Regions from separate parts of the Mus musculus genome. Here all the other regions are reported to be linked to region 2. Evidence: microRNA targets listed by miRTarBase, many of them from high-throughput screens and not tested one by one. Region 2 holds a microRNA gene; each other region holds the end of a gene's coding sequence.

Region 1 (7,934 bases), not on the chromosome of region 2:
CAGAGGACAACTTTCAGGAGTCACTCTGGTCTTCCACCATGCGGGTTCCAGGGGAATGGAACTCAGGCTATCAGGTTTAGCTCAAAGCACTTTTAACTGCTGAGTCATATTGTCGGCCCTTCATTTTTTACCTGTTTATTTTTAGACCAAGAACCTAACCCCTGAGAAGGTGCTGCCCTCAGCTGAGTCTTCCACTTCAATTAATCTAATCTAGATTATCCTCACATGTATGCCCTGGTGCCAACTTAGTCTAGGTGCCTGCACACAGGTGTGCCAGGAGCTTTGCCTCCTGGGTGATTGTAGATCCGGTTAAGTTGGCAATCGGTCTCGATCATCAGGATATGAACCCAGGGTTGGGGAGCCATTCATGCAAGTGTGAGACAGGGTCAGGCAGCAGCCTCCTCTTGTGTGGGCATCAGTCTTCTCGCCACTTCTGCCAGGGAGGCAGGGAGGCTCAGCAGTCCATGGGGAGACACCAGATCTGGTTTTGGCTACTTTGACTGACTTCTGGTAGCCAAAGGGAGTTGGAGGGTGGAGTCTGCTGTCAGCAAGGCAGGGCCAGGCACCCTGGCACCCTGGGTAAGGAGGTAATGGTGAAAGCTGTGAGGGTTCAGAAGTCAACGAGACCTGAGATTATGAAGGCACAGGACCTGGGCTGCTGTTCATCCCAAGTTTGCATCTCTGCTCTGAGAGTGGGTGGGTGATACCTTAAGTTGTTCTGAGCCTCACCTACTTCTGTAATGTTCTTTTCAGCATGGGTGTGTGTGTGTGTGTGTGTGTGTGTGATTGATCGATCCTGATCTCTCTCTCTCTCTCTTTTTTTTTTTTTTTTTTTTTTTTTTGGTTTTTTCGAGACAGGGTTTCTCTGTATAGCCCTGGCTGTCCTGGAACTCACTCTGTAGACCAGGCTGTCCTGGAACTCAGAAATCCGCCTGCCTCTGCCTCCCGAGTGCTGGGATTAAAGGCCTGCACCACCACGGCCTGCTCGATCCTGATTTCTTTTTCTCTTCTTCTCCTTCCTTCCCTTCTCCTCTTCCTCCTCCGTCTTTTTTTTTTTTTTTTTTTTTTTTTTTTTTTGAGACAGGGTCTCTACATAGTCTTGGCTGGGCTGTCCCGGAGTTCACTATGTAGACTTAGACCAGGCTGGCCTCAAATTTAAGAGATTGCCCTGTCTCTGCTTCCCAAGCACTGAGACTAAAGATGTGCATCACCATGCAATGCTCAGTATTTCTTCCTCTTTAAACAAGGATGTCCATTCTAGAGTGTTCTGAGGTAGTGTAACAGAACAGTGAGGTACTTCACGTGCTGAGAGGCAGCACAGCTGGAAGCAGCAGACCAAGGTCTAAAGATCTTTCCCCTCACCAGCCAGGACCCCTAAAAGTCAGCCTGGAGTACACACAACCAGTGGAAGGCAAGCAGAGGTTTATAGAGTGCCCCAGGGCCTGCTGCTGCCTGGATCACCATTTTAAAGAAAGGCTTCTGGCTGAATGTGGTCAAAGAGGTGGACCAGTGGTTAAGAGCCTGAGCTATAAAGTATAAAGAGAATTGGGAGGCAAATGGATCTCCAAGTTCCAGGCCATCATCTTGGTTTACAAAGCAAGTTCCAGGACAGCCAGGGCTACACAAAGAAACTCTGACTTGAAAAACAAACAAACAAACAAAGAGTTCTTAGTGCTCTTGCAGAAGGCCTGAGCTCTGTTTCCACCACTCAGCTCAGCCAGTTCACAATCACCTGTAACTGCAGTTACAAAGGATCCAATGCCTCTTCAGGTCTCCACAGGCCTCTGCACTTAAGCATATATCCACATACAGACATGTATATATAGTTAAAAGTTATGTATTGATTAAAAAATGCAACACCTTACAGGGCAGTGGTGGCGCACGCCTTTAATCCCAGCACTTGGGAGGCAGAGGCAGGAGGATTTCTGAGTTCAAGGCCAGCCTGGTCTACAGAGTGAGTTCCAGGACAACCAGAGCTACATGGAAAAAACCCTGTCTCAGAAAAAAAAAAAAAAGCAACACCTGTTATTCCCAGTACACAGGAGGATTGTGAGTTTCTCAGTGTTTAATTTGCAGATCAGATTTTTTTGGCTGTTCTAGAACTCATTCTGTAGGCCAGGAGTTAGGAGACTCGGGCATCTAGCTGGTGTGTACAGAGGTGTTGCCTGGGATTCCGAAGAGAGGAGGTTCTCTGGCTAGGTTCTCATGCAGGCATATATAGACAGAAAATAAAGGAGGGAATAACAGAAAAGACCACTGCCAAGTTCTCGTCTCAAAATATTTAATTTTGTTTGAAAAGGATACATTCCCAACTTCCCTCCATAACACATCACTCCGGCCCACCAGCAGGGACACACTCGCACAGGCACACACACACATGTAAGGCCAAAGGGCTGCTGTCTGCTTCCACCTCTGCAGCTGGGACAAAGGGCTTTTCTCCTGGCCTCTTTCCCACGGCAAAGGTAGGGAGAGGGGCTGCTGGAATGCAGCTCCCAGGGAGGATGCAGAGCCCACACACTCTACCAATCACATGCACTTAGAAAAATAAAACCAAGTGGTGTTCTGGCATCCAACACCAAAAGACAGCAATCTCTACCTGGAAATCATCTTTGCCTTTTTCTAGAAAATTTTATTGCACTTAATTAACAGATGTTAAAGAAGCTGTGGGTAGGGCTTTGCCCTGGAAACCAAGAGCTCCTCTTACAGGCCCCTCTTACAGGGAGCACACCTCTCGGGGGGCCCCTGGAAAGCTTCCCATCTGTCCCCAGGCTGGAGGACTGTAGGAGCTGCCTGAGTGGAAAGCAGACCACAGCACCATCACAGCAGGGAGTATGGACCAAGGGTTAGGGTCACTGTCTAGTGCTGTCCCTAACCAAAGGAGTCAGACCCACATAACTTAGCCTTTGGGCTGAAGATAAAGGTGACTAACAGGTCCTCCAAAGGGTGGCTCTTTCCAAAAGCACGTAGTTCTTTATCAAGACATCTCTTGAATGTACATTCCTGCAGGGTTCTAACTCATTCAGGTGTCTTTTCTGAGGCTGCCATAGCTGAGAACAGGATGTTTAGGAAGTGATGACACTTCTCATCCTAAGACAAACCCACGGAAAGCCAAATAGAAGTTGGCTTCTGGAGCCTGGTTACTCCTTAGAATTCAAGGATCCAAGTGCAAGAGCTTCAGGCTTCAGCTGTCAGCTCCTAGAGGGAGTCAGGAGACTTCCACAGCAAGATAAAGAGCAGAGCTCAACTCTTTCTGTGCAGCCTTGGGTCCTAAAGCCAACAGAGGAGCCAAGCTTATGTGAACACTTTGTTCTCCAAGATGTCAACCTCTAGGCGTGCTCCTTCCGGTTTGTTTCCCTGCCGCTTTTCATTCCAGAGGCTTCTCCAAGAAACAAGCAGACAGTGACTCTGTAAGCACTTAGGAGGAGCCAGAACCCACTCCCTACTTCTGGAAGGAAAGGAGGGCACCACAAGGCAGAACGGGGACTAAGGGGAGACGGTAAGGCCCACCCACCCACTAGGGTCAGAACACAGATGGCATCCAGAGATAAGTATCCATTCCTTAAAACTAAAACTTAAAAAACAGAAACCTTACATTTTCTAGTCAAAGAAAACGAAGAGATTTTCAGCTCAAGGCTTGTCCACCAGAAACAAAATGAGAACTGCCTCTGGGTGAACAGCCAGCCCAGAGAATAGTGCTGGGTGGGTAGGAGGCAGGCAGCCCGGGCAGACACTGACATGCTGGATGCTACTGCCCTTTGTAGTTACAACAGAGACAAGTGTGCACACGGTTCCTAGAGAACCACAGAGTCAAAGTCAGGGACCTAGTAGGAGGGAGACCTCCCTTAGCCTTAGGGACCTTTGTCAAGTTCCCCAGAGAGGTGGTGTGCAGGTCCCAGGAGGGGCAGGGCATCTCCTGGCTGCAGTCCATGGCCAGTAGACAGTCTGCCCTGGTCTTAACATCATTATGAAAAGTCTTAAAAGATAGGGGCCCCAAACTAAGCCACCATTTAAAATAAAGCCAGTGTTAAGTATAATGAAGCACCCTCATCACCTCTGTCTCCTTCACACAGGCTGCCCGCCCTGAGCAAACAAACACACCCTCCTGGAGGGTGCCCTCATGACCCACATGAGTAGAGGGTTCCATGATGTCCAATCCAGCCAAATAGAAGAGAAAAGTGCAGCTGTGAGGGAGCCAAAACTGCAAGAAATCACTCTGCCCCACGGGGAGAGCTGTGTGGGCACCCTCCGACTCCACAGGGACTGCAGGCCAGTGTAAATGTCTCCAGAGCCTGCTGTCCCATGAGAGCTGCACTGTAAGTAACTTCAGCAAATACAACTCATATACGGCGGCCTGCTGATACCCATGGGGAGGGATTCTAATCTGTGACGTGGCAGGCCCTCTTCTGCCTTCAGGGACACTAGATTCTGGCCTGGGTATATTGGTGAGCCAGAGCAAGGGTTCCATGGAGCTTCCCAAGAGAAAACCCCTCGGTCTGGTGCCCACAACAGGAGACTGTGGAAGCCAGTTTCCTAAACACCATGCAGAAGTGGTACCCTGGGGCCTGGAAGCTCAAGCTTCCTAGGTGATAGGTTTTCTTCTTAAACCTAAGAACTGAGAAGGGATACTGGGTGAAAATAATCAGAGACCAAGCTAGTGGAAGTCATGAGCCTTCAGAATGGCCCAGAGATACAAAGGCGCTGGCAATTAGACCCCAGAGACCAGACTTCCTGGAAATTTCTCTTCCATAGCAAGTGGGATGCAGAGGAAACTGATTCCAGGGCCACTTCAGGCCTGAGAGTCACAAGACAAAAGTTGGAGCTAAGAATGGTTGGGTGCATTTCTACCACAAGCCCCAGCCCCACCCTAATTCCAGGCTATCCAGAGACCCCACTTGTGTGGTCCACCACCCTGTCTATACTAACAGGATTAGCATGTCCTGGCTCTGAGACAGATGGGAATGAATGTTTCTCTCAAAGATTTTGGGGAGGGTGAGGTACATGACAGACACACCCCAAGTGGAAATGCACCTGCTACCTGAGACGACATTAGGGTGACAATAATCATGACTCATTCTGTAGACAGCCCTTGTCAGTCCAAACTGGAGACTGAGGGGAAGGCTAGGAAAGCCTGAGCACTCTGTACAAGAGAACCTGGACTCCAGAAGGCCCCTTCTGATTCAGCTGGAGCATCCAACAAAAGAGACTTGGGCCATTTACCCGTCTACGTAGATTCGCTCATGTTCCCCATCGGAGAGGATCTTGGTCCCCTGGGGAAGTCATCACATGTGCTGGCCATGTTATAATGAAGCTGAGACGTGAGTGCTCCTAGAGCAGGTACGCCACCATGTGCCCATGAAGAGTCCTAAGTCTCCACACGAGTGGGGTCCAGGAAGCCCCAGGCAGAGGTCTGAGGTGCAGGCAGTGCCCTGCGGGGCAGGGGCACAGGTTACAAGGGCCCGTACTTGGTCTCGTACTTGGACACGATGGTCTTGCACTTGCCCACCTCCTTGCGAAGCTCGGCAACCTCCGTCCGCAGGGCTGTGTTCTCCTTCTCCAGGAACGCTGCCCGGATGGTGATCTGGTTCTCCTTCAGGCGCCTGGCATCCCGGGAGCGTTTAGCTGCCACATTGTTCTTCTTACGTCTTGTCCAATACTTTTCATCCTGTGGGAAAGTGTCCTCTGTGAGTGTCTGGTATTCCCCCTAAGAGAACTTAATCTTTCCTTCCCATCCCCAAATCCTCACACGCCCTGCCCCTCCTCTGCACATAGTTCAACGTTGTGGTAAGAACTCCAGACCCCAGAGAAGGAATAGTGTGGGACACTGCCTGTCCTTGAGGGGCAGGTGCATGGTGGGGACCAGGGCTGCACCGACAGCTCTGTATAACTGTATAGCTGTGTGCTCAGCCCTTGCTTAGGCATACTGGTGGTTGTTAACATCTCTTTCTCTTCTTTTTCTTTCTGTCTCTTTTTTTGAGTCAGGCTCTCTCTCTCCCCCTACCCCCTCCTAGGTACACTTTCTCTGTGTACCCCTGGCTGTCCTGGAACTCACTCTGTAGACCAGGATGGCCTTAAACTCCCAGCAGTCTACCTACCTCTACCTTCCAGTGCTGGGATTAAAAATGTGTGCCACCACAGCACACTTAGTATTGGTTAAAAGCCAACAACCTAGGTGTAGGTTAGTCCCCTGAGATCAAACCTGACTTTACAAGACCATGTAAGAGAGAGGGAGGAACAAAGAGGGAGAGAGTAGGTGTGTGCGCCATGGTGCTTGGGTGGACGTTGAGCCAGCATTTCTCAATCTGTGGGTCATGACCCCTTTTGAGAACAAACAATCCTTTCACAGAGGTTGTATTTAGACCATCCAAAAACAGGTATTTGCATTACGATTTATTTATTTGATTTTTTGAGGCAGGGTTTCTTTGTATAGCCTTGGCTGTCCTAGAACTAGCTCTGTAGACCATGCTGGCCTCAAACTCACAGAAAGCCACCTACCTGCCTTTGCCTCCCACTTACTAGGATTAAAGGCAGACACCACCACTAAGATACATTACGATTTAAAATAGTAGCAAAATTACAGCTGTAAAGTAGCAACAAAAATAATCTTATGACTGGGCATGGTGGCGCACGCCTTTAAACCCAGTACTCAGGAGGCAGAGGCAGGCAGATTTCTGAGTTCGAGGCCAGCCTGGTCTACAAAGTGAGTTCCAGGACAGCCAGAGCTACACAGAGAAACCCTGTCTCAAAAAACAAAACAAAACAAAACAAACAACAACAAAAAAATCTTATGGTTGGAGGTCACCCAGGCCTGAGGAACCGTATTAAAGGGTTGCAGCATTAAGAGGGCTGAGAACCGCTGCTTTGAGCCATCTCCCCAGCCCTACAAGGTGTCTTTTGTCCTTTAAGACTGTTCAATCTTAAACCAGGCGTGGTGGTGCACATCTTCAATCACAGCACTCGGGAGGCAGAGGCAGGCGGATTTCTGAGTTCGAGGCCAGCCTGGTCTACAAAGTGAGTTCCAGGACAGCCAGGGCTACACAGAGAAACCCTGTCTCAAAAAAAAAAAAAAAAAAACAAAAACAAAACAAAAAAAAAAAACAAAAACAAAAAACCAACAACAACAAAAAAAACCAAAACCAAACCAAAAAAAACAAAACAAAAAAACCCCCATAAAGTCTGTCCAGCCTTACTTTCTATCTAAGGTTTGAGTCTTACTTTCTAAGTCTGGTGACTTCTCATACCAAGGAAGTGGAACTAAAACACCCAAGCAACCCTGGGAAGAAGGGAAGTAACAGAGTAATTAGGACTCAAGTCATACCTGAGCACTTCTTCCCATCAAATTACTGCTGATGTGGCTTCAAATAGAGAACTCCTGTCTATGTGGTGTCCATCGTAGGAAGGGTTCTCCATATAAAATCACATATGAGGAAGCACAAGGTCTACTCCAGTTTTCTTTCCCTCCCTCTCCTTTTGCTTTTATGAGAGATCTGCCTGCCTCTGCCTCCCGAGTGCTGGGGTTAAAGGTGTATGCCACACGCTCAGCTTCTTTCTCTGTGTGAAGAGCTAGAGATGGTGCTCTGGGCCTCATGTGTCCCAGGCAAGCACTGCAAAGCTGAGCTGTGCCAGTGAGCTGCACTACTCAGAGAGGGCAGAGCTTACCCTAGACTCTTAAACCACTGTTGTGTCTTTAATCCAGAACCCTGGGTGTTACCTTCTGTTCATCAGGGACAAAGACTTTCTTGGCTTTTTTGATCATGGGCTGGGGCTTCAGGTCCTCCTCTGCAAACCTGTGCTTCCGAGGGTTGAAGAGCTCCCCCCCTGGTACACTAGAGAGGACCAGGTCGGCAGGGTCAGGGTTGAAGTTCACATCGACCTCCACACAGCTGGGGTCGATGGGACTTGGGGTCTCCCTCTCCTTTTCCAAGGACGATTCTGAA
Region 2 (7,934 bases):
CCCAGGCTTTGGAGAATCGGGCTCCGGGGGCGGGGCAGATGGCTAAAATTTCCCTAGCTAGTCTCGAAATCGCTGCTTTCCCCAACCGTCACCAGCGCGACCGTTGGCGACGGCGCAGCGCTCCATGAGAGGCGTGGCCGAGCATGGATTGGCTTCCCGGCAGCGCGAGGGGGTGTGGCCAGATGGTTTCTCCTTAAAATGGCTCCAAGTCTGGGGACAGCTAGAGCCAGCGGAAGGGCACGCCGTGGCAGTGCTGGAGTAGCTGTTCGAGTGGGACTGACTGGGCCAAACCGGACCAGACGTGAAGTAGACCGCGCCTGGAGCACCACCCCGCCCTTGCGCGCTCTGCGCGCGCGTACCGAGAGTCTCCCTCCCCCTGTCTTGAGCTGAGTCTAGGGCCTACTGGCGCATGAGTCCTTGGCGTCCCGCGGCATGGGCATCTCTGCGCACCGGTTCTGTCCTGGCCTCAGAGGAACTTTGTCGCGTTCTCTATCCGCTGGACTAGACGGGTGGGATGCTTGACACAAATGGGGCTTGGCTGTGGGGTTCTTTGCAGGGCCGGTTGCAATGGGCTTGGGGGGAGGCTGTCCTGCCGCTGCTATGTGGGCCAGTTTGGCCCCTGGCACTTCATGAGCTGGCACCGTCACCAGACAAAAGGTCCTAAGCTTTGGGGAGTCCCAGAAGTGGACACATGGGTTTACTTCCTCTCGGGTCTCACGGAATCGCTTCCCTCTTGACGGATTCCGAAGCCTGCCCGGTACAAGTGGCTCCTGCTTGGGACTCACAGGGCTAATCCAGCCCTTCTGATCTAATCCGGATCAGGACCTCGTCCCGGGGGATGCCCCCACCTTCTATTGTTCTGGGGCCCAGGTGAGCGTCTCATTCTCACTAGACTGGTTTAAAACACCTACTCCTTCCTACTCAGCCCACTGGGAAGGGATGGGCGGGTTCCGGTTTGGCCTCAGGGCGAGTGACCTGGGAGCAAGAGCCCTCCTCCAATGGCTGGACAGCGGGCAACGGAATCCCAAAAGCAGCTGTTGTCTCCAGAGCATTCCAGCTGCACTTGGATTTCGTTCCCTGCTCTCCTGCCTGAGCAGCGCCCTGGCCCAGATAATGTGGTCTCTATTCTCAGAAACACTACACTACTGGGCCATTCTGATCTCCATCTCTCAGGTGCACCCCCAGACTGATGGTGGCAGTCAGAGGCGACGAAAAAAGCTCGGGCTGATGGCCCTGTCTGGAATCCCTGGAGAACTCTGACCAGGGAGGTCCTGGGTCCTCTCTCTGAAGGGCCGCAATGGCGGTGAGTCCCACAAGGCCGCCCAGCCCGCAGCTCGCTAAAGATAGATCTTCACTTCCTGGGGAAAACCCACCCCAACCGTCTTCATGGAGGGAGAGTAGCTAAAATCACCAACTTGCTGGTGGGTCCCAGCCCTGCTAGCAGCTGAACCCACACCACAGCATGGAAAGTGCTTTGGAATGACACGATCACTCCCGTTGAGTGGGCACCCAAGAAGCCATCGGGAATGTCGTGTCCGCCCAGTGCTCTTTCGGCACCTCCCAAACAGGGCCTCATAGCCCCGGCCTTCCCGAACTTTTCCTATCTCTAGATGTCACTCCTCTCCGGAGCAAAGTTCACCGGTTGGATTCATTCATTACTGGGGGAAGTGGAGTTTCACGTTACTTGGAAACGAAAGAGTTTGGACATAGAAAAGCTCACCTGCAGCTTGCTCTACCTGAGAGCTCTGCTTATTTGGGTCTTCTCATCATCACATTTGTCTTAAACTGACCAGTTGCCTAAAGAACCAAAGGTGCCGGTAACACCAGTTTAAAGGAAAAACATTAAAGGCTGGTAATCCTGGAATCATGATGACTAATTCCTCGGGTATCAAGATGGGCAATTCTATCCGATTGGGCTTTTACTGGGAATAAAGACATTCCATACCGCAGCCGAGGAAAGGCGTACCAATAATCAGAACTCAAATTTTGCTTTGTTTCGTTACTTTTCCAAGTAGGCGGTAAAGAGTCTTTAATGGAAGACACGAGTGGTGGCACACACCTTTAATCCCAGTACTCAGGAGGCAGAGGCAGGTGGATTTCTGAGTTCAAGGACTTTCTGGTCTACAAAGAGTTCCAGGACAGCCATGGCTACACAGTGAAACCCTGTCTTGAAAAACAAAGTGTCATTAATGGTACAGCCTTATTCCTTTGACATTTCGTCTCGTGCGTCTGGCCTTTAATTTGTTTAAATGGGGCAGAAAAAGAAAAAAGAGACATAAACACAAAGATGTGAAACTTTGGTGGCAAAGTGTCTTGCCTGGTAACAAAGATCCGTTATCAAAGTAATAATTCGGGGTGACGATTTTTTTAAAAAGGAGGAAAAATGGACCCTCAAATTTGGAGGTTAGGGCTCATGAATACAGGAAAGGCCATCGGGAGGGAGAGCTGGAGGCGTGGGTAGAATGTAAGCTCACTTGGCATGCTCGATCGCTCTGGTCCATTCAGGAGAGTCCACGGCCGGATCCCCGCCCCCGCCAGGCGGACCTCCCGGAAGCTCTACGGATAACTTACTTCCTGTTCCATTTAGTCTTCCGGTCGCCATGGCGACCGGGCGCCTTGGGGTTGGCGAGACGCTGGAGGCCCTTAATGCAGCTGTAGGGCCTGGTAGCCCAGTGTGGTTTAAGGAAACCCATGCCCGGCACCTTCGTGTTCGAGACTTCTTGGCACCGCGAAGCGCGCTACAGGCGCGCTTCAGGGACGGCCAGGTGGGTGCGCTCCTGTGGGGCATGCCTAGCGGGATCCACGGAACTACGGCCCACTTACACACATCTGCCTGCAGGTGCCAGAGTGCGTGTTCCGTGCGGTCTCCTGCCTGCAGGGTCCCGGAGTGGCCCCTGTACTGCGCTGCGCGCCGACACCCGCGGGTTTATCGCTCCAACTACAGCGGCCCGCTGTCTTCGAACATGTACTCGGTGCCCTGGCCTCCTATGCTACTCCCGCCAAACCTGCCTCACCAGGCCCGCGAGTTGTCCTACACTGCCCAGCACTGCGCTGTAATTCGGGGACGCTCCGATTGAGCCAGCTGCGTGCCGTGCTCGTAGCCGATCATCTAGTACGGGTACTGCGTGCTCATGGGTAAGTGCGTGTTCGAAGCTATAATGGCAAAAGACCGAACATTTGGGGATAGAAAAGGTGGGAGTCATGATAATCTAAGCCTGGTCCGCAGGCTGAGACAGCCTCCCTTGCTTTGCAGGGTACGTGTGTGCTCAGTGCCCCCGGTGCGGGACCCTCACATGTCAACTTTCCTCCAGAAACTTCGGGTGGAATGGCCCACTGCCTCGAAGAGCACCTCGACCGAAACACTGAGAACCTGTGTTCTTGCAAACCTTAATGGTTCTAAGGAAGCGACGCTGCCCCCTGGCGTCCTAGGCCGACTGTGTCTGAAGGAACTGGTAGAACAGAGAGGCACTGCTGGCTATGACCCCAGCATAGACCACTGTTTGGGTAGGACAAACGGCAGAACATGGGTGGGGTTGTGTCTCTGCACTGCCAGGCACTTCAACACCTCTTGTTTTCTGTAGTGACTGAAGATGTGCTCTCTGTGCTCTCGGAGCTGCAGGAGGCTGTGCGCCACTGGCCAGAGGGCGGCCACCCAGGCCCGGTGAGTGGCTGCCTTGACCTCTGCCCAAACTGGATTTTTGTATCTTTGTAGTAACTGCCCCATCTCTCCTCAGGCTGGGCGTCCAGATGCTGGTGTAGATGACTGCGTGGTTATACACGTGGTTAGCTGTGAAGAGGCATTCCAGCAACAAAAGCTGGATTTGCTCTGGCAGAAATTGGATGACCGGGCTCCTCACAAGCAGGTTGGTTACCAAAGTTAACCAAACCACCTCCGACCTCAGGCCTGGAATACCATGGGGTTTAGAGACTGATGTGACCATAGGCACCCGTGCTACAAGTGCAAATGTCCTGTGACTATGTAGTCTTAAGAAAAAGGATGATGGTGTCTTGAGGAGGTACGAAGGAAGGCTGGTGGTTACAGATTGGGAAAACCAAGGTAGAAAAGCAACTGATATAGTTCCCTGAAGCGGGGAGGGTAGTGCCAACTGGGCTGAGCCCTTCCAGTCTTTCACAGAAACACCTGGTGTGTGGTCCCGTGAAAATGGCTGGTGTACCCGGCACCCAGCTGACTGCCCCTCAGTACTACAGGTGAGTATGAAAGGGATGCCATCCACAGCCACCAACAGCGTAAAGGTAGGGACAGCTTTCACTGAGACCTTGCTTACTGGCTCGCTTTTCTAGGCTCAGACATGCTCAGGTGTGCGAGGCCTCAGCTCTGAAGCACGGAGGAGACCTGGCACAAGGTACACCTGGGAGATCCTGCGTGTGCGCTGAGGTGGAAGCAGGTCACGCACACCTCTGGCCTGTGTGCTTCGTCTTCAGACACTGACCAGCCTCTCTCGCACCCCAGACCCCGCCTGGACTGAGACCTTCGACATCCTCTCCGTGGCTACCATCAAATTTGAGATGCTAAGCACAGCCCCACAGAGCCAGGTAAGCCTCCCGACACCAGGACGGAGGATGCAGGTACAGAGCCAAGGCCCTCTGCAGCTATGTTACCATTCCCCAGCTCCTCCTGGCCCACAGCACCATCTCAACAAAGGGCACAAAGAGCGGGACTTTTGTCATGTATAACTGTGCCCGCCTTGCCACACTCTTCGAGGGCTACAAACATGGAACGGAGCAAGGTCTGTATCCCACTTTTCCGCTTGTGAGCAGTCTGGACTTCTCACTACTCCATGATGAGGTGAGTGTTGGTCCTGATAAACGTCCACAAGGCTTGGACTTGTCTTCCTAGCACGCTTGTCTCCCGCAGGGTGAGTGGCTGCTGCTTTTCAACAGTGTCCTTCCCTTTCTGGACCTGCTGAGCCAGACTGTGAGTCTGGCCGGCACCCCAGGCCTCCACATCCCTGTCCGCACGGAGATGGTAAGGCACAGAAGACATTTCACACATTATTCTTTATTCTGGGTTGTAACACAAGAAAAAAGACAACAGCTCAACGACTCAACGTCTGTCTCTAGGTATGCAAGTTCCTGGTGCAGCTCAGCATGGATTTCAGCTCCTACTATAACCGAGTACATATTCTAGGGGTGAGCATACAGCAAGGGGGGTCTGCGGGAAATGTGGGCAAGGCTGAGCACACGGGAAATGAGGATGCGCCTGGCTGCTTTTCTTTCAGGAACCTCGGCCACACCTCTTTGGTCAGATGTTTGCTCGCCTACAGCTTTTGAGGGCAGTGCGTGAGGTGTTCCACACAGGCTTGGCTATGCTGGGCCTCCCTCCGCTGAGCCACATCTAAGGGCCCAATAACTGGGAATGTTTATAAAAGCATCAACTGGGAAAGAAACAAGACCTCACAGATGTTGGGCACTTAAAGTCAGAATAAATACAGTTTCATCCTATTGTGAGAGTGAGGCGTGTTCTTGGTCCTCCTATGCAACACCCTACTGGAATACTTGCGAGAACTATGGTACTGCCTCGCCTCCCCAGAGCACACTGAGCGTGACACAGACAGCTGATCCCTGCTCTACTGTCTGCAGTCAGGCCCTGTGCTCAGTTCTCCACCCACTGGGATAACTCAGTCATACCAGTTGTAAACCTCAAGTCCCTGACCTGCCAGAGCACAGCGGTGGCCAAACTCAGGGCTCACAGGCCAGCAGTCCATGTCGGCCACATCTGGCACATGGTACACAGTGCTATTCATGAAGGTGGGCTCACCCTGTCCCAGACGCCAGAAGGTCAGCCGCTGGTCTATGGAGGCTGAGACCATGAGCTTGGGACTTAGGATCTTGACGCCTGTCACATGGGCAGCATGTGCGCAGGGGACGGAATATTCCTCTAGGACACATAACTGGGGCACCAGCTCAGCCTCCCCATCAGCTTCTTCCGGCTCTGGCATCTTCACAGCAAGTGTGAAGACATGCAGGGACCCATCCTCACTGCCACTGGCCACAAGGTGGTGGCCCTCAGGTGTAGGCAAAGTGTGCAGGCTATTGACGCCACAGCTATGGGCTTGCACGGTCATGGAGGGGGTGCCCATCTCTGGAGGAAGAGAGTGGCTGTTAGCTCCCGCTTTTATCTTGTGAGAGAGGTAATGAGGGGTGTCACGGTACTCACGGTAGGGAAGCCCAGGGTGTGCTGGAAGCTCCAGGGTAGTAGAGCCTTTGTCCATTGCCGTGGTGAGATCCCAGAAGGCTAGGCTGCCATCTGTAGCTGCACTGCACAGGATCAGCCTCCTGGAAGCCAGGAGAGGACAGCCAGATCAGTAAAAGGGATGGAAAAACAGGAGCCCTTACCCAACCCACAGAGGGCTGCCTCTCACCGACGCTGGTTAGGTGCCTCATGTGTGAAGGAGTGGACTTTGAGGACACACCGCTTGTGGTGGAAAGACTCAGCTAGGAGATGCAGAATTCGCCCAGAGTCCTGCAGGAGAAAGAGCCTGGGGGCGAGGAGGAGGGGTGGTGGTCTGGGAACCGTCCTGGAGAGCTCACACCCTCCCCCTCCCCTCCCCCTCCTCTGCCCTATGAGCTCACCTCACTGCTCCATCACTACAGGCTGCAGCCACAAGGGGGCCAGGGCCGAGGCCAGGCCTATCGTTGTCAAGCTCACAAATAGCAAGAGACATGTACCTGTAGGGGGTACACACCGGTCAGGTGGGGCCTGCAGTCAGGAGTCAGGACTTTCCTATAACCCTCTCACGCCCCGCCCATGACAGGGAGGCCGCCTTACCTGGTCTCAGGGTCCACCTTGATCATCTTGTGCTTGTTCCGCTGCCGGTCCCAGTACTCATCCAGCCGGTGGGATGAAAGGTGCATGACATGACAGGCAAGGCGGCTGGGGGTGCTAGCGTCCGGAGTGACCATGACGCTGAAGCAGTGAATCTCCGCTCGGCCCCCTGCAGACACTACCTGAGCAGTGAGCCCTGGTCGAGTATCCTGTGGGCCACCTGGGGTGCCAACAGCCCACACTGCCAGGGCTCGCACAGAGGAGATATGGTTACAGACAGAAGTGAGGGCGTGGGCTGAGCCTGTGGTGGTGGGAAGTGCTAGGACACAGACAGTAGTGTCCTCACTGCCTGTTATCACTATGTCAATCAGACCAGGCCCCTCACTGCCAGGCTCCAGGGAGTCAGGATGCTCCAAGTTGGGTACCTCAAATTCAGGGCCCAGGGTCACTGTGCCCACACGCTTTACACATGTGATTTCACGGCCATGCAGACCCTCCCGGAGAATCACATTGGGCCGGATGCAGCCACCTAGAGCCCGATAGAGCATGACCTCACCATCCTTCAGGTAGGTAAAGGCCATGGCTGCCTCAGTATCAGAAAAGGCCCAGGAGCGGTGCCCTCCCCCACAGTTGACGATATGCAGCTTCTCATGGGACCGGGGGCTCCACACTACAAACTCGTTGGCATGGAAACCCAAGATGACCATACTTCCATCAGGCACCATCCGAAGCCCAGCTACCCAGTTCATGCCTCGACAGGCTTTCTGCCTTAGGACCGGCTGGAGGTGGCCGCCATGTACAAAGAGCTGGAAGTAGGAGCTATCCCGCCCTGTGCTGTATAGGTAGCCACCATGGCAGGTAACTGAGGTCACACCCTGTTTCCCATGCAGAGAATGGAGTGTAGAGACGGGGCCTATTCCTGTTGGGACACTCTCAGACCCACCGCTCCCACTACCAGCTCCAGGTGCCTCAGCTGCAGTAATAGCCTTGCTTCCGGCCCCAGGCTTTTTGAATAGACATGGTCTGACAGGGAATAGCATCACAGAGCCACGGCGGTCCCCACAGACGAGGAAGTCACCCGGGGGCAGGAAAGCACTACATGTGTGCCATCGTTGCTTGCTTGGGGGAAGGAGGTACCGGCAACGTT
Region 3 (7,934 bases), not on the chromosome of region 2:
GCCATGTCTGTCCCGGGCTCCCATAGAAGGGCATTTTGGTTGGAATATTCTAATGCTTATACTTTTGTGAAGGCTTTCAAAGTTGCTGTGGTGAGCACACGTCCCAGGAGGGAGTGACAGTTGGCTGCCTGTCTTGTGGTGGATGCACAGCTCCTCTCATGCTCTGCCCGCCCAGCCTTCATTCACAGGGGCACCGAGGAAAGGCAGGCGCCTTTTGTGTTTAAGTCTATTGAGTTTTGTTTACAGTGTGAATTTTTATATTATGTGTCTGAAGGCTAATGAATAAAGTGATTGTCAGTTCTAAGATATAGCCTGTAATTTTGAATTCTGTCTTACTTTTCTCCAGGGGTCCTGGCCTGCCTGGATGGCTACATGAATATAGCCCTGGAACAGACAGAGGAGTATGTAAATGGACAGCTGAAGAATAAGTACGGAGATGCGTTCATCCGAGGAAACAATGGTAAGAGCTTCCCTTCCATTGAGTGTTCAGAATAGGCCGTTCCTGCGTGTAATAGGGAGCTGCGGGGCGTCTAAGTGTTAAGGTTCTCTTTACTTTTGCTTGTTTGTTGTACTTATATTTTAGGTCTTTAGTATAAACCAGGTCTGTTTGTGAGTGGGAAGAGGATTTTCCATGGAGGTTGGAACTAGAAATTCTCTTTCTCAGTTGCTGAGGGGTATTGGTATACTAAGCAGGCCCATTAGACCAGGGACCCAGAGGGTGTGCGGCACACAACCACATACTGTACTCTCGCAGTGCTGTCTGGGAGTGGAAGCCATCCTGTGCCACAAAACGCCCTTGACATTTAGCCTGTCCTTTGTCCTTTTTCTGTTCAAGATTTAGGTGCCTTTTGTGGAGCTTTGTACCTTTCCGTGTGTCAGAAGTAGGACAGAAGGCGTGGCTCTCAAGTTCTCTTCTTAAAAGCCTTAAAAGTTAGGTCTCGTTAGGAATTAAATATCCTGACTTTTGTAGACATACCTTGCTTGCAGTTCAGTAGAATTTCTTCTATTTCATGTTATTCTTACTTGCCCTCCTCCTTTTGCTTGGAAATATTATGCTCTTAAGTAGCCCCCATAGCAGGAGCCATTCCTACACTGACATCCACCTAGCCTGTCTGGTTTCCCAGGCAGTGGCTTTCCTCCTATTCTGATGGCTCCTACACTTTACTGCCATCCTCAGTAACAGGTGTCATTATTCCTACTACTTGTAGTTGGGTCTTAAAGAGGATCCTAGTTCACTTGATTGAAGTCTGTGCTGGACTCTTTGAGGAAACATCTACTGTTCACTTTGAACAAGCTTGTTCGTATCTGAAGATGTGTGGGATGGGAGAGGGAGGGTACACCTTAGGTGACAGCCTGACCAGAGCCCCTTTTGTCCTATCTCTGTGCAGCACACATTCCACTGTGCTAAGAATGACTGGCGAAAATACATGTTGGATGACACCAAAGGTTTATACTAATCTCAGAATAAGGACTTTGCTTTCTTAAAAATGTTTTCTCATTTTTTTCCTCCTATGGAAATTATCAGAGTAAACCAATTTACAGAGTAAACTGGGGAGATAAACGAAAATAATGCCATTTCTTTCTTTTACATTTTTTTCATGTGTATGAGTGTTTGTCTGCATGTCTGTAAGTACATCATATGCGTGCCTGGTAGTTGAGGAGGCCACACAAGGTCACTGGACTCCCTGGAACTAGATTTACAGTTGGTTGTGAACTGCTTTGTAGGAATTGGGGACCCAGCCCTGTTGCTCCGTAACATCTGCAAGTTACATCTGCTCTTAAGTGATGGGCGTCGTCTCTCCAGACACATGTGCTAGTCATTCTGAATGTGACACCTAACCTAACAGATCTGGCTGATTCGCCCTTTTCAAAACTTGTGATATAGCTATTTACAAATCATTCTTACATTTTAGGCACTTTCACTTTTCTAATTCCCAGTCATAATTTGTAAAGTCAGTAACATGCATAGATAAGACTAGTTATAATCAGGTAAGATGTCCAAGCCCGGTCTAGACGCAAAGCTTGTTTTATAGAGACCTTCATTGCATGGTAGAAACAGTCTTTTAAAGTGTTCGAGGTGTAGGCCAGGACCCATGAATGCCTTTAAAACTGAACCGATGCTGTGCCCCTCGAGTGACTGCTCGTTCTCTTGTCTTTCCAGTGCTGTACATAAGTACACAGAAGAGGCGGATGTGAAGACACCAGGAGGCAGTGCTCTTCAGAGATGGATAGATGAAGTGGTTTTGGTTCTCTTACCATCTTAGTTGGCCTGTTTTCATGGTGGCTGGTGGGGGTTTGTTTGTTTGTTTGTTTAATTGACATTGGAATAAGATAGAGGTATTGCATTACAGATCGACTCTTAAGTTTTTCACATTTATGTCTCAGTCTTTATCATTTCTGCCTGTACAGAATGCTAAAACTAAAACAGTTTGTTTCTCCAGGATTATTTTACCTAAGATTCCTGCCCTGTCATTCCATTGGTTGATTACGTATTCAGCTGACTAAGTGGTACATCCCGGAACCTGTGATCAAGCATTCTGGAGGCATCCTTTGTCTCTTTCTCTACTCACCATCCGTACCATTTAAAGCAGGTAGATAGAAAGTCATATGGTTTCAGCCTTGGGCTATAAAGGGACAAGAGGTCAGAAAATCAGCTGTTTATTTAGTCACCTAGTTAGTGGTGGTATCTCCACAAAGGAGTGCAACTGTAGAGTCAGGAATTGGAAAGGTCAGCCACGTGAGGTGAGACACTGCCTGGAAGCCTCCTGTGCAGTTAGACTCTTCATGTTAACTTGCTCCCTGTTGAGAGTGTTGGTGCAATGGCTGGTTACGCCAGCCAGGGGAGGAGCTCTACTGTTCCTGAGAAACTGGCTGTGGCTGAGGTGGTGCAAGCCCAGAGTGCTTAGACTCAGTTTCCAGGCACTGAGCTTCGGCTGCGAAAGTTTCTCCTGCTTTTTGCTTTAGCAAGTGGCCTTGGGGAAAGGGTTGTATTCTTGGCCTTCAGGTCACGTGACTCCCGCTGAGCGGGCTTGTGCTGTCTGTGGACTGTGTGTGGGTGCTTTGGTTGCATGGACGCTAGGGCTTTCCTTACCCTCCTTCAATCTAAACAGATCCCTGTCTCGGGAGGTCGGACAGTTTTAGAGCAATTGCCCGGCTGGAGGAAGTGGAGGCAGATGGACAGCTAAGGAGGGAGGGTGTGCTTTCTGGAGAGGTGTATATATGGCATTTGTCTAATTTAAATAGTAATCAGAAACAATTAATAACTCAGGAAAGAGAGGAGTAAGGTTTGATGGTGTGCACACTGAAAATAAAACACTTTATCCTAAGCTTCAGTAATTCATCACTTCCTGACAGGGGCTTGCAAAGGCACCAGTGTGTAAGTACAAATCACCAATTTGCTCTTTTATAAATGGCTTCTTTAAAGGAGAAAATGGATGTCTCTCGGAGTGGAGCACACATGTTCTCATTTGTTTTTTAGAGTGTGTGAGGCCGCCAGGTTACTGCATCCCTTCATTCATCCCCTCAGCTGCCCTGAAAGCAGCCCTGCTGTTATCTCCAGCAGTCTGTAACATCCCGGCTCTGCTCATTTCTTCCCTGACCTCCCCTCCAGCCTGCAGGTCTTTATTTCCCTCTTGCCATTTCTAGCTTAATAGCGCTACTGCAGAATATTGTTTTCATCCATGGAACCGCTTTTAATCAAGATGGACTTTGGGAAATGCTACCATTTTTATGGTAATAACCATATTATGCATCTGGACCAGCACATGTTGTCCCCTGTGCATACCTTCTTGTGATAGAATTCTGAAACAAATTGTAAATGGTAAAATTACTTTTTTTTTAACTGTAGTCTCCTCGTGGTCTGTGAATGGTTTTCAGTTGGATGGTAGCAAAGACAATTGTTGTAGGGTGAAAATTTTTCACTTGAGTAAATACATTTTCCGTGTCCCTATGCCCCCAACCACAGTTGCCACCATCTTTCTCTTGGGCCGTGACAAAACAGAATGTCTAGCAGGAAACAGAACTTGTGCTTGCTTTCCAGACTATCTGCCTTCATATTTTGTTTTGGTCTGTGAGCTATTCCTTGGCTAATCTTGCAGACTGAATCAATTCTTACTTCAAAAGTGTTTATCCCAAACAGAGCTGTAGACGAGTACAAATACAGATGGCGGCCATGTGGTCTGAACCATGTTCCCCCTCAGCCTGCAGACAGGGTTCACATCTTGAGCATCATGTTTGAGGCCATATGTAATGCATGCGAGGAGTTCCTAATGATGTGACAGATAGTAACAAATGCTTAAGGGATTTCCTCAAGGTTGGAAACAGCAGCATCGACTTAAGTGTGAGCCGCATCACCCTGGAGGCTACAGTCAGCTTCATTAGAAACAAGCACTGTGGGAAAACTGTCTTTGATATTCACAGTGCCTCTTGGATGACAGCATTCCAGGCCAAGGAGCCAGTCTGTCCCTCAGTGCAGATTAGCATACATGCCCGTCTTTACAGTGACTTTTGGTTTAAGAGAAAATGGTGTATTGGCTTGTTCCTCTTGTGGGAAGATCTCAACCTTGGAGTTCTCATAGCCAATCTATGCTTGTCACGTTTTATTTGTTTTTCCTGCCCCAAAACAAATTATTGGTGAAAGAAGCCAACTGCAGTTTTTCCCTCACGACCTTCAAGCGGCTGTGCTCCACAGCAGCTACCTGTTCTAATCAGCTGGCTTCTGAGAGTACACGGCTAGGTGTGCTCTGATCTGAATAATGTCCAGCAGGGGGTTTTATCCCAGGAGCTGCTGCCGTGTCTACTGTAGTTGGCCAAGCAGTTATGAGTGTTTCCATTGATCAACCATTTGTGATTCCACAAAGTCTTGCCTAAAGGACAGGGTGGACAGTATGCACCTCTTATGTAATAGGGCAAGAGACAGCCTCAAGTGATGCTTGCTTATTGTCTTAGTTGTTACTGCTGTGAACAGACACCACGACCAAGGCAACTCTTATAAGGACCACATTTAACTGGGGCCGGCTTACAGGTTCAGAGATTCAGTTCATTATCATCAAGGCAGGAACATGGCAGCATCCAGGCAGGCATGGTGCAGGAGGAGCTGAGAGATCTACATCTTCATCTGCAGGCCACTAGGAGAAGACTGGCTTCCAGGCAGCTAGGACAAGCTAAAGCCCACGCCTCAGCGACACATGTCCAAAGAAGTGCCACTCTCTGGGCCAAAATTCAAGCCACCACACTTACTTTCTTGAAAAGTTAGAGGAGCTAACTAGGGAGGGGAGTTGGAAGAAATGATGTTGATGATCAGCGCCCACTGAATGGCAGCTGTGGACAGGATCTATGTGGTACCCTAAATGAATAAGTGAGATACTACCCCCTGTGCACGATAGGAAGTCACTTGCAAGTCTGGCTATTTATAGGAGAAAGTACCTGACACTGTCTTTTTAGATGGGACAGGATTTTAAAATAGTTCATAAATGCATTTGATGTCTCAGCTATGTTCATACCTTAAAATTTCAGATAAACTTGGAACTGGAAAACCTTGAAATCTGATCTTTCCCATCTATGCATTGTTCATGGGTCTGTTGGTTTCCTGTTTTTACACATTTTTATCTATCCAACAAAAGCCAGATTTTCTGACTTAGCTAAATTCTCATGCTATCTTTGCCCTCACACCATTACACACCAGTTTGAATGCTATCATCTGAAGTATTGAAGGATTTATTTTCTTGGTAGTAGTTTAAGGTCTGTAGCAGACAGAAATGTAAACATATTTTAGAACTTTATAAAATCATCCAACATTTGAACAATTGAAATAGAGAAGTTTTCAAGGCCTACTTTGCAAAACTGGTCAAGTCCACGTGGGCTCTGTTTATTCTAAGCCTTCTAGTAGAAATGATCCTGGTCACATACACACACAAACTGGTTAAAGGAGGACTCGGTTTGTGAAAGCCTGCGTAAAATAATTTCAGAGAAGCGGGTTTATTACCACAAACTGCATATGTTAGTCCAAACACTATTCAGTGTTTCTGTCCGAAGCCCTATTGGAATTACAACAAAAAGGAAAAGCTAAGAATTTGTTGTGTACTACTGAGTAAATGGCCAGACAGAACAGTCCCCCTCCTGAGTGGTGTCTTAGAGGCAGTCTCCAAATCCTAAAGGTTTAAAACCAGTAACTCTGATGTTACAGGAGCCTATAGGTAAAGCTCTACTGTGGACACGCGGGAGAGTATTAAGAATTATTCCGTAGCCGGGCAGTGGTGGTGCACACCTTTAATCCCAGCACTTGGGAGGCAGAGGCAGGCGGATTTCAGAGTTCAAGTCTGGTCTACAGAGTGAGTTCCATGACAACCAGGGCTACACAGAGAAACCCTGTCTCGAAAAACCAAAAAAATAGAAGAAGAAGGAGGAAGAGGAGGAGGAGGAGGAGGAGGAGGGAAGAAGAAGGAAGAAGAAAGAAGAAGAAAAGACTCCTTCCCTAGCTTTTGTGTTTTTGCTTCGACTTGATGCCACTCACTTCTGATTCATATTAGCCAAGCAAGTTGCATGGCCATGATTTAAGTTTTTTCCAGTAAAATAAAATCCTTTCATGGACATAGAAAACCAAAAATCCTGGCAGAGATTGGTTAAACTTTGTGTCAATCATGCTTCTCCATAGAGACAGAGGGTGATGTGTATGCAAAGAGAGGCATGTGAAGGAACTGACGACACTCCTGCACTGGCAGGGTAGCCCTGCTGCAGAAGAGCTGCAGTTTGACCTGGAGGTAGCCCGTCTGTTAAACCCCTTCCTCTAAGGTCAGTCTTATTATTAAAACCTTCAGCTGGTCGGATGAGGCCCAGCGGCGAGGTGAAGATAAGGTGGTACACTACTTAGTTCAATCTTTTTACTAAAGTATTAATCTCATTTAGAAAATACTTACACAGACAGGGTAGTGTTTGACCGCATCTATGGTTACTGTAGTCCAACCCATTTATCACAAAGTCAGCCATGCGTTAACTAGCCTTTGCATTATCGATGTCCTTAACAGCCCTCTGTGAAGTGTATAGAAGCAGAGTGCAGTGAGATTTTTTTATTGCATTGAAAAGGGAATTTTTTAAGACTGAGTTCACAAGACCCGTGTCCCTAATGTCTTATTCAGTTAATCAGACCAAAGACAAATAGTGGCGACTCTATCATGACTTCAGAAGCTGGGTCTGTCTGGGTAGATTGTTTCATGCCAGGTTGACTTGTAGAATTCCCAGCTAATATATTTCTAGATTTCAGTGGAAATATTGAAAGTGATAACAGCAAAGCCAATATATCTTCTACCCACACTGTAGGTGGATGACAATGGAGCTTTTAGTCTGCATCACAGCACGTCTTGTTAAATGTTTCAAAGCTATGGGTTGTGCAACATCAGAACAGTCTAGGCATTAGGGTTATGTGGCGTGCTTTTTAGTGCATCCAAAACCCCTTTACCTCGAGGATGAATGTGCAGACTCATTCAAAACGGTGCAGTTATTAGGACTGGACTGGCAGTTTGCTTGTTTCCTTCTGACCGTGAGATCTTTGGTGGCGTCTGCTTCAGACCCACTTGTTATGGGGATTTTGATTTCTTTAAAAACACTGAAATATAAGACTCTGGTTTTGGTTTAATCCCAGGTGTAGGATACGGGGCTGCTTCAGATTGTCCTCATGCTCTAGCCAGCAGCAGATAGTTTCTGCAATTGCATGGCATTTAGAATTCTGGGGATTTTTGCAAATAAGTGCTAGGGCCTTGAGAGGTGTGGTGGGTTGTTGGTTGTTGGCTGGTCGCTGTTGGTTGTTGCTTGAGGTTTGATTAGTTGTGCACAAAGAAGAAATTAGATGTCCTGACAGTGAAGATCAAACTTGCTCCAAGCAACTCATATTCTAATCAGGAGGAAATAGTCTATCAATAATGCCACCCTGTTTCCTTTCT
Region 4 (7,934 bases), not on the chromosome of region 2:
ATTCTTTCCCATTCCCCAACTCTTTCCAGATCTTCCCTTACCCTCAACTCACATTGTCTTGCTCGAAAAGCAGGAAAAGAAAACAGAGCTCACACACACTTTGTTCAGTGAGTTGTGCTAGCCAACTACCTTGTCAGACTATTTTAAAGACAAAAGCTTTCGGAGCCCAGACTGGTCTCAAATTACATAGCCAAGGTTAACCTTAAAATTCCTGCTCCTCCTACCAAATTGCTTGGATTATAGGTCTATGCCACACCATGCCTGGCTTTAGAATGTTGTTAAAGTTTTTCTTTCCTAGGTCAAAAATTATTACAATCATTAACAATGAAAAGCAAAACACAAAAACCTCCACCCTTCCTAGAACATGTACTAGAAAAGACTCCAGACAGCTGTGGAACTCAATCAGGAATCTAGCTGATGGAGAGCCTTGCAGGGGCTTCCTGGAGATCAGCCATGAGGGGCTGGGAAGCAAGCCCAGACACTCTGGCACTTCCCCACAATCCCTTCCTGGGAAGTCTTTGCCAGTCTGCCTCCTAGGGTCTTCTGCAAAGACGAGCACTTGGGCTTGTGGTCTGTAAGATGTGAGCTAGAGGGCTTGCTGTGGGGACAGGGTTACCCCTTTCCACATCTCCCAAACCCGTTCCATGTAGTGTGGCATCTCAGCTCCCACGCCCTCTGAGCTGCTTTTGGAGGCCTGCCCTTAGACTCCTCCTCTTCCAGCCATATCCCAAAGCTACGCCTAGGGCCTTCCCTTTGCCCCAGGTCCCTATGGGAAGGACAGGATACACGTGCTCTGGGGGCCAGGCTGCCTGGAGAGCTGGCCTCTAGGAGATGGACCTTTCCCTGCTCTCAGCTTTGGGGTTGGGGATGCGTGATAAATGGGAGCCGAGTGGTGCAAACCTCACACCCATTTGTATGTTTGTTTTCTTCCTTTAGTGCTGTAAATACTTGGGCCAACTTTGGAGGCCCCACTTAGACTCACTTCTGGATTTAACTAGGCCTGCCAGTGTCCCTCGTTCTGTGCCAATTACTCTACCTGCTGGTGACTTAGTTGCCCACATTTATAAAGTTACACTGAGGTGGCAAACCCACAGGGCTTGTAAAGAGTTGACCAACCCATGAAGGCATTGTGCCAACGGGAGCCTTACCAGGCCGTCAGAGTAGGGGAGTAAGGATGGTGGCTCGTACCTACTAACCTTCTACTTGGGAGAACAGATCAGGAGTTCTTGGCCAGTTTCTGTTACATAGCAGAATTAAAAAAAAAAAAAAAGATTTATTTATTTATTTTATGTATATGAGTACACACTGCAGCTGTCTTCAGACACCCCAGAAGAGGGCGTCAGATCCCATTACAGATGGCTGTGAGGCACCACAAGGTGGCTGGGGATTGATGGTTCTAGCAGGAGAGCACAGCTACTCGTTATACTCAACTGGAAACTGGTTCTCCTCTATTCTGGGAAGTTTGTCCTCTTAGACCTAGTGCACTGGAAGCTGCTTCGGGAGGGACACACATAGAGCAGTGAGGGAGGAAGGGACACCCACCTAGCCAGCCAGATCAGCCTAATCAACACTGGCAATCAATGGGGTGAGAGATGTCGCAGCCAGATCACCCTTACATCCAGTTGCTAGGAATTAACTCAGGACTTCTGGAAGAACAGTCAGTGTGTTTAACCGCTGAGCCGAAATCTCTCCAGCCCCAGTTACATATAAATTTAAGGCCAGCCTGGACTACAGGACATCATCCTATTAGAACAACAACCACCAACCAACCAAACAAACAAAAAGAAAAAAAAAAAAACAGGTGGAGGGAATGGGGGTGTGAGCTCACCCTGAGCCTTGGAAGAGAGGAGTCTGTGTGCGGTGTGTGTGTGTGTGTGTGTGTAGCTTTTCTTTAGGACAGTCAGTTTTGTGTCTCCAGCTCCTGGGGCTCCTGAAGTGTATAAGCCAGGGCAGGTGACTGTGATGTGATTTTACCCTCTGAAGGTGTGCTGAGGGCCTCCAGGGCTTCTCCCTCAGCAGTCCTAGCCAGGAACATCAAAGCCAGACTGAGAAAGTCTCCAGTGCCCAGGGTTCCACCCTCCAAAGCCACACCAGGGATACTGGGAGACAGGCAGAGACAGAGGTACTTGTTGAGTGACAGTTTATTGGTCCTTAGCATTACATCTTAATTCCAAGTGAAATTCACAGACACAACTGCAGATAAAAACATGTAAAATAATATAAAAATAAATTGAAGGCTACTTTTATATATTTACTGAATTAAGTAGTGTAATAAATACTATAATAAGCAAAAAGTTTCAATCACACAATTCAGTTTCACTGAAGTTATAGTAGTGTTTGTAAATATGAATTTTAAAATTTAAGTTACAAATATTAAAGCATTGAAAAACTAGTATAAAAGTGAATTTTGGCACGTAAGTGAGCTCTTCATTAGTATGTGACGGTGTGGGATAGTGGGAAAGCCACCCCCACCTATTTTTTGAGGTACAGCTATCCAACTAGTCAGCAGCATGGCTGGAATACTTAAGTTTACAGTCTTTGAATTGAACTTTTCCCTTTTGAGAAGCCAGAGCTTTTTACTGTGCAAAAATTCTCCAAAATCCTAACAGGATTTAGGAGGGACGTTTTTATTGATCACAGCCTGAAGGGCTGGTGTCTGGGCCTCAGGTCAAAGAGCCTGAGGCCTTGCTGGGCCTAACTTGCTTGCAATGTTTGCTTTCTAGTCTCCCTCCAGTCAACAAAGGGAAATCCCGCAGGAAAACAAAACTGCCCATAACTTCAGTGACCGCACCACTATCACACTCACTCTGTGGTAAGAACTGAAGCTGCTGACAGGAAAGCTGGGAGAAAGCCGGGAGGGCTTCTGTCTGTCCTGGGAGCTGATCCCTAAAATCCTTGCTGGGTCCATGATACCCACTTCTAAGATCAGAGGCTAAGACTATCATGGCTTCCCCCGCTGGAGATAGCCTGAGACCACACTCTTGGACTAGAGGAATCAAGTGGGTGTTAAACCCCACATCAAAGTCAAGGGACCTGCATGTCGTTGGGATCGGCAGAGGAGCAAGCAGATCCCTCTCCTAGTCCTCAGAACTCAGTGTGTGGTCGCTGCCCCCCAGTTCCTGAGCAGGCTAGGGAGCACCTATGGAGGCTTCGGCTAGCTTGCCCTCTTGGCTTAGAAACTGCTGAACGTTCGTTCTGCTTTTTCTTCAACCACAGTTTCATATTCAAGTTGAGGTAATCGGTTTTCCCTCTAACGAACGAGAGGAATGGGGGCAGTGGGGCAGGTTGGTGAAAGCACATGGCTATGGACAAGGGTCAGAAACCAAGCTCACCACGTAGCACAGCCCCAACCCCTCTTTAAAAACTCTTTTTGTGCAGCAGCCAGACTGCCAGGCCAAAGCAGCCGAGCTCTTAATCCAGAGCTTCCACTGAAAACTTCACAGTAACTCTGCAGGAAATGAACTGGCCTGTGGTTCTCCCCCACCCCCCAAAGAAAGTAACATAGCTTGTGGTCCCCTGTTCCCTTTGCTAAGGCTGCTAGCTCAAAGTTTAGTTTTTAAAAAGAGCTTGGTGAAGATAAAGGGAGCTATAATAACTCATTGCTTATTAATCAATTGCACTTAAGATCTATGCTGTTGACCCCCAGCCCGAAGTCAGGGACTCCCAGACTAGAGCTCAACATGAGGGCCTTGTAGTTTGGAGCTGGGACTGAAGCATATGGGCCTGAGTTTCACAAGCTTTTCCTTCTTTCTTCTTTTTTTTTTTTTTTTTTTTTTTTGGTTTTTCGAGACAGGGTTTCTCTGTGTAGTCCTGGCTGTCCTGGAACTCATTCTAGACCAGGCTGGCCTCGAACTCAGAAATCCGCCTGCCTCTGCCTCCCAAGTGCTGGGATTAAAGGCGTGCGCCACCACACCCGGCTTCACAAGCTTTTCTTAATGCAAGATTTCTGACCCAATGGGACTTGTAATTTAGTTCATTCAGCTTCCATTTTTTTCCCCCTAACACAAGTATATTTTATTGACAAGTCCTTGATTACTACTTTGCTATTTGTCCAAAGAGTGCCATGTTACCAGGCACACAGACCCATATGCTCCATCTTACCTCTCCTCTGTGCCAGGGCCCTTTCTCAAAAACCCTTCTACATTACAGAACACTATGCTGGTTTTACTATGTGCTTCTTCTAAGGCATGCAAAAGGTACATGAAACTCAGAAAACATTTACAGTCCAGCAGCAGAGGCACTCAAATCCTAGCAGACGTCACCTTTAATGACCTTATTCCTCACACTAATTAGCAAGGTCAGTCTTGGGAATGCAAGTTAGTTTACCTTTGCTGTTCGGTCCAACCTAAATCAAAACTACTGGAGGGAATTCCAATTTGGATATCAGAATTTTTCAAATTCCTGGTCTTTGGGAACCAAGTAAACAAATTCAGGGCCAGGGGCAGTTTTGGGAGGTTTTCTGAAATGTATTAGCAGGAGGTGGGGAGGCTGAGTGCTAGAGACCAACAGTCCCCAAACGGTTAGACCCTGGGTCCAAGCTAGTTATAGGATATCCACCTCAACAGGGAGGGGAGGCACTCCAGGGCTCGAGCAGCATGCCTGCTCTTCTCCCTAAATTAGAGAACCAAGTGATGCCACAGAGAGGAACTCAAGGACCAAACCTCCCAAGGTGCTGCAATTAGTGACGGAGCCTTGCATTTCTAGAAAGCATCGTATCTCACTTCCATTCATCCCACAGAAGTGCTCTCATCTAGAAGGCATTGTGGATCTCTGCCTGGCCACTGCTTAGGGAACCAGGGTCCTTCTAAATACCAGCAGCTACACCAAAGGCTTCTCCTCGGCCTTACATGGTGTCCATCGGTCCAATGGAATCTTTTACCAGACACCCAGAGCTGCTGGTTCACAGGGCAGTGCTAGCTAGCTGCTCATCCTGTGCCCGCCCTCACTCAGTGGTCCACACAATGCCTTTCATGGTGCAGAGAGAAGAGAGAATAAAGACAACATGTACTACACTGTCAGGCACAGGCCAGGGAGGACAGAGACAGCCCCTTCAGGAGGGGCCTCCAGGAAAGCTGGACACCCATTCATTCATTCATCTCTGGTAGGCACAAGCCCAGCTTTCTCTAGGGCTTCGGCTTCTGCTCAAAGAGGTCCCGGTATTCCTGCTGCTCCAGCTCCCGGTTGTACCTCTCGATCTCCCGATTGGCCTCTTCCACATAATCATTCATGAACTGGTCCATGACTGGCACCTGGTTAAGGAAGTGAGGTGTAAACCTGGAGGACGAGAAGGGCAGCTTTCTCGAAAAACCACAAAAAAAAAAAAAAAAAAAAGAAAGAAAGAAAGAAAGAAAGAAATAAAAGAAAGAAAGAAAGAAGGGCAGCTTATCCTGGGGATCTTGTGGGCAGGTCTGGCATAGGAAACCAAAACCAAAGTATCTGCCACAAAGCATCATAGCCACAATGATGGTAGCAGGTATTGCCAAGTCCCCCACCCAAGCCTTTGGGTTTTATCAGCACACTGAAGCTCGGAGGCCCGCATTGCATCCTGTCCATCTCTTCACACATGGACTGCTCTAACAGGCCATCTTCAATTTGTTTGTCATAACCCTGTTGTTATCAATGCTGCCTACAAGCCACACTTCATAGAGTAAACATTACAGCTGCTCAGTAAAGGGCAGATTTAACACCAACATGGAATGCGTGCCTGTGGGGTTTATCCCTGCCAGGCCTCCAGGACTGCAGACCCTGCCTGCTCCTAGGGCATAGCTGTGGTGGTCCTAGCGACCCCCAACCCCCATTTTGCAGGAGATCTTTGTATCTCCCAGATCTTCATACTACAACCCAACGGTTTCCAAGGATACGTGGGTGAAAATCAGTCTTGTCCCCAAAGAAGTTAACAAACTGGGTGCCATTGTAAAAATAGCCTGCAGGTAAGGGGTCCAAGTGGCGTTTCACCTGTTGGAAAAGAATCCTGTTGCATTATCTGACAACTTTTTATCATTTCATTTATTCATTCATTCAAAGCAAATAAATAGTGCTGGTTATGGTGGCCCACACCTTTAATCCCAGCCCCCTGCAGGTAAAGGCCAGCTAACTGCATAGGTAGCTCAGTAGTTAAGAGTACCATCTGCTCTTTCAGAAGACCCAGGGTTAATTCCAAGCACATCCATGACCTGTAACTCAGTTTCAGGGATCTAAACCTTTTCTGGCCTCTTCAGGCACCATGTATACTGCACAGACGTTGGGACTAGTGACAGCCCATGATGGGGCTCTGGCTGTGGCTTTTGGTCTTTTGTCCCAAGACCTTGATAAAAGGCCTCCAAGGGCATGAGCTTGGGAAAGGAGCTTAGAAGTCAGTCTGCCATTAGAAAGGTTCACCCAGAAAACCTCATTTGGCTTAGTATCCCATAGCCTTCCCATGAACAGCTCTATCTATACAGCTTTCTTCTGGGCCTCAGATGACTTCTGTGCAGTTCATCTTAAGCAGAGATCTTGTACCACTACTGACAGGTACCAGATCTTTTCCACTTCATCCACAGGTCTCAGCAGCTGTGGCCACTCCACTTCCTGAAGCTACAAGGTTAGGCTCCTTGACCACTCCCCCCTCCCCCCTTGTCTCCTGAGAGAAGAAAGACTGCCAGGACATCCTACAAATAGGCCCTTACTCTGGGAACCCAAGACAGCAGAACAAGTCTAGCACAAGCCATGGAGGGGACGCTAGGGCAGGACACTCACATGGATGTTCTTGATCTCTTGCTGGGTCAGCATGCCCCTGGTTTTCAGAGCTTTCCTCTGAGGCCTCTATGCAGACATAGAGAAAACAGACATTTGAACAGAACTAATGGAGCACAAGGGTAGCTGAAGGCTCCAAAGAGACTGGGGCCAGTTACATCTCAGAGATCCCAGCGGAGGGAAGAGTGCAGGAACTGGCTCTCATGGACATGCTATTTGGCTTTTCTGTTCCTGAGGAAAGGATTTTCCCACCAGAGTTCTGCAATATAGCCAGGACCAAATGGTAGCCAAGCCCAGTGCTTTACAAATAGGCACAATCCTGCTTCTTGGCAGATTCTTATGCAAAACTCACAACAATGACAGATAATACGCAAAAGTAGCCTGAAGTTCCACAGTCTATAACATTTAAGACCTCCAAAACAGGGAGTGGTGACACATCCCTGTAATCCCTGTACTTGGAAGGTTGAAACAAGAGGACTAAAAAATTGAAGGCAGTCTAGTCTATATAGTGAGGTTCAGCCTGACCACCACAGCTCTAACACCCAGCCTCCTAAAACAGAAGCAAAGGCAGAGGAAGTGATCCACAGGAGACAGCTCACAGCTCCTAGAAGACGATCACCGGTGTATAAAAGATCCAGGACCCAGCAACCCTACTCCTGGAGTTCCAGGATAAGCCAAAGCACCGACGTTCCCTGTGTCAGGAGGCTGAGCACCCACAGCTTCTAGAGAACCTGAGCGTAAAACAATACACAGTACTGGGGCCGGAGAGAGAGTTCAGCAGTTAAGAACACTGGCTTCTCTTCCAGAGGACCTGGATTTGATTTCCAGTGCAAAAATTATCTGTTATTTCTAGTTCCAGGAGATCTGACCTCTTGTGGCCTCCACCAGACATTCATGTGGTACAGACATACATGCAGGCAAAGTACCTGTACACATAAAACAATGAAAACTACACTATCACCTTTAATCTCAGCACACTTGTGTCAGGAGGAGCTCTGAGTTTGAGACCAGCCTAGTCTACAGAACAAGTTCCAGGACAGCCAGGACTGCACAGAAAAACTCGATCTTAGAAACAAAACAAAACAAACAACAAAAAACCCAAGCTGGGTGAGGTGGTGCATGCCTTTGCACCTAGTACTAGGGAGGCAAAGGCAGCTGTGGATCTCTGAGTTTGAGGCCAGCCTGGTCTACAGAGTGAGTTC

What was found. The annotated mature microRNA mmu-miR-425-5p reads AAUGACACGAUCACUCCCGUUGA and lies in region 2 at 1,479-1,501, shown strand. An mRNA with a match to its seed (bases 2 to 7 or 8) in the 3' UTR can be bound and repressed. Matches are read on the target gene's strand: a 7mer-m8 pairs with bases 2 to 8, a 7mer-A1 pairs with bases 2 to 7 and ends in A, and an 8mer does both.
Region 1: miRTarBase lists Tef as a target of mmu-miR-425-5p. Seed matches in the 3' UTR shown: 7mer-m8 at 3,073-3,079.
Region 3: the mRNA of Lsm6 is a reported target of mmu-miR-425-5p. The part of its 3' UTR that is shown has no 7-base or 8-base seed match.
Region 4: miRTarBase lists 4930402H24Rik as a target of mmu-miR-425-5p. The part of its 3' UTR that is shown has no 7-base or 8-base seed match.

The regions. Positions count from the first base shown.
Region 1 is chr15:81,821,194-81,829,127 of GRCm38, reverse strand. It overlaps Tef (thyrotroph embryonic factor), which reads right to left. Exons shown (of 4, transcript NM_017376.3): 3 at 7,709-7,929; 4 at 2,265-5,662. The coding sequence ends at 5,447. Among named protein-coding and RNA genes, the nearest start is that of Tef, 14 kb to the right of the region's middle.
Region 2 is chr9:108,567,311-108,575,244 of GRCm38, forward strand. Mir425 (microRNA 425) reads left to right here and starts at 1,467; the gene lies at 1,467-1,551. Dalrd3 (DALR anticodon binding domain containing 3) reads left to right here and starts at 2,582. Exons shown (of 12, transcript NM_026378.3): 1 at 2,582-2,765; 2 at 2,840-3,135; 3 at 3,254-3,504; 4 at 3,582-3,661; 5 at 3,735-3,863; 6 at 4,136-4,209; 7 at 4,303-4,364; 8 at 4,472-4,554; 9 at 4,631-4,807; 10 at 4,877-4,987; 11 at 5,083-5,151; 12 at 5,241-5,461. The coding sequence starts at 2,601. The coding sequence ends at 5,360. It overlaps Mir191 (microRNA 191), which reads left to right and starts at 1,009; the gene lies at 1,009-1,082. Ndufaf3 (NADH:ubiquinone oxidoreductase complex assembly factor 3) reads right to left here and starts at 126. Exons shown (of 5, transcript NM_023247.2): 1 at 1-126. It also overlaps Wdr6.
Region 3 is chr8:78,802,473-78,810,406 of GRCm38, reverse strand. It overlaps Lsm6 (LSM6 homolog, U6 small nuclear RNA and mRNA degradation associated), which reads left to right. Exons shown (of 5, transcript NM_001191004.1): 4 at 347-460; 5 at 2,162-5,539. The coding sequence ends at 2,196. Among named protein-coding and RNA genes, the nearest start is that of Lsm6, 15 kb to the left of the region's middle.
Region 4 is chr2:130,704,077-130,712,010 of GRCm38, forward strand. 4930402H24Rik (RIKEN cDNA 4930402H24 gene) reads right to left here. Exons shown (of 37, transcript NM_029432.2): 35 at 6,736-6,801; 36 at 5,862-5,955; 37 at 2,124-5,242. The coding sequence ends at 5,124. Among named protein-coding and RNA genes, the nearest start is that of Slc4a11, 11 kb to the left of the region's middle.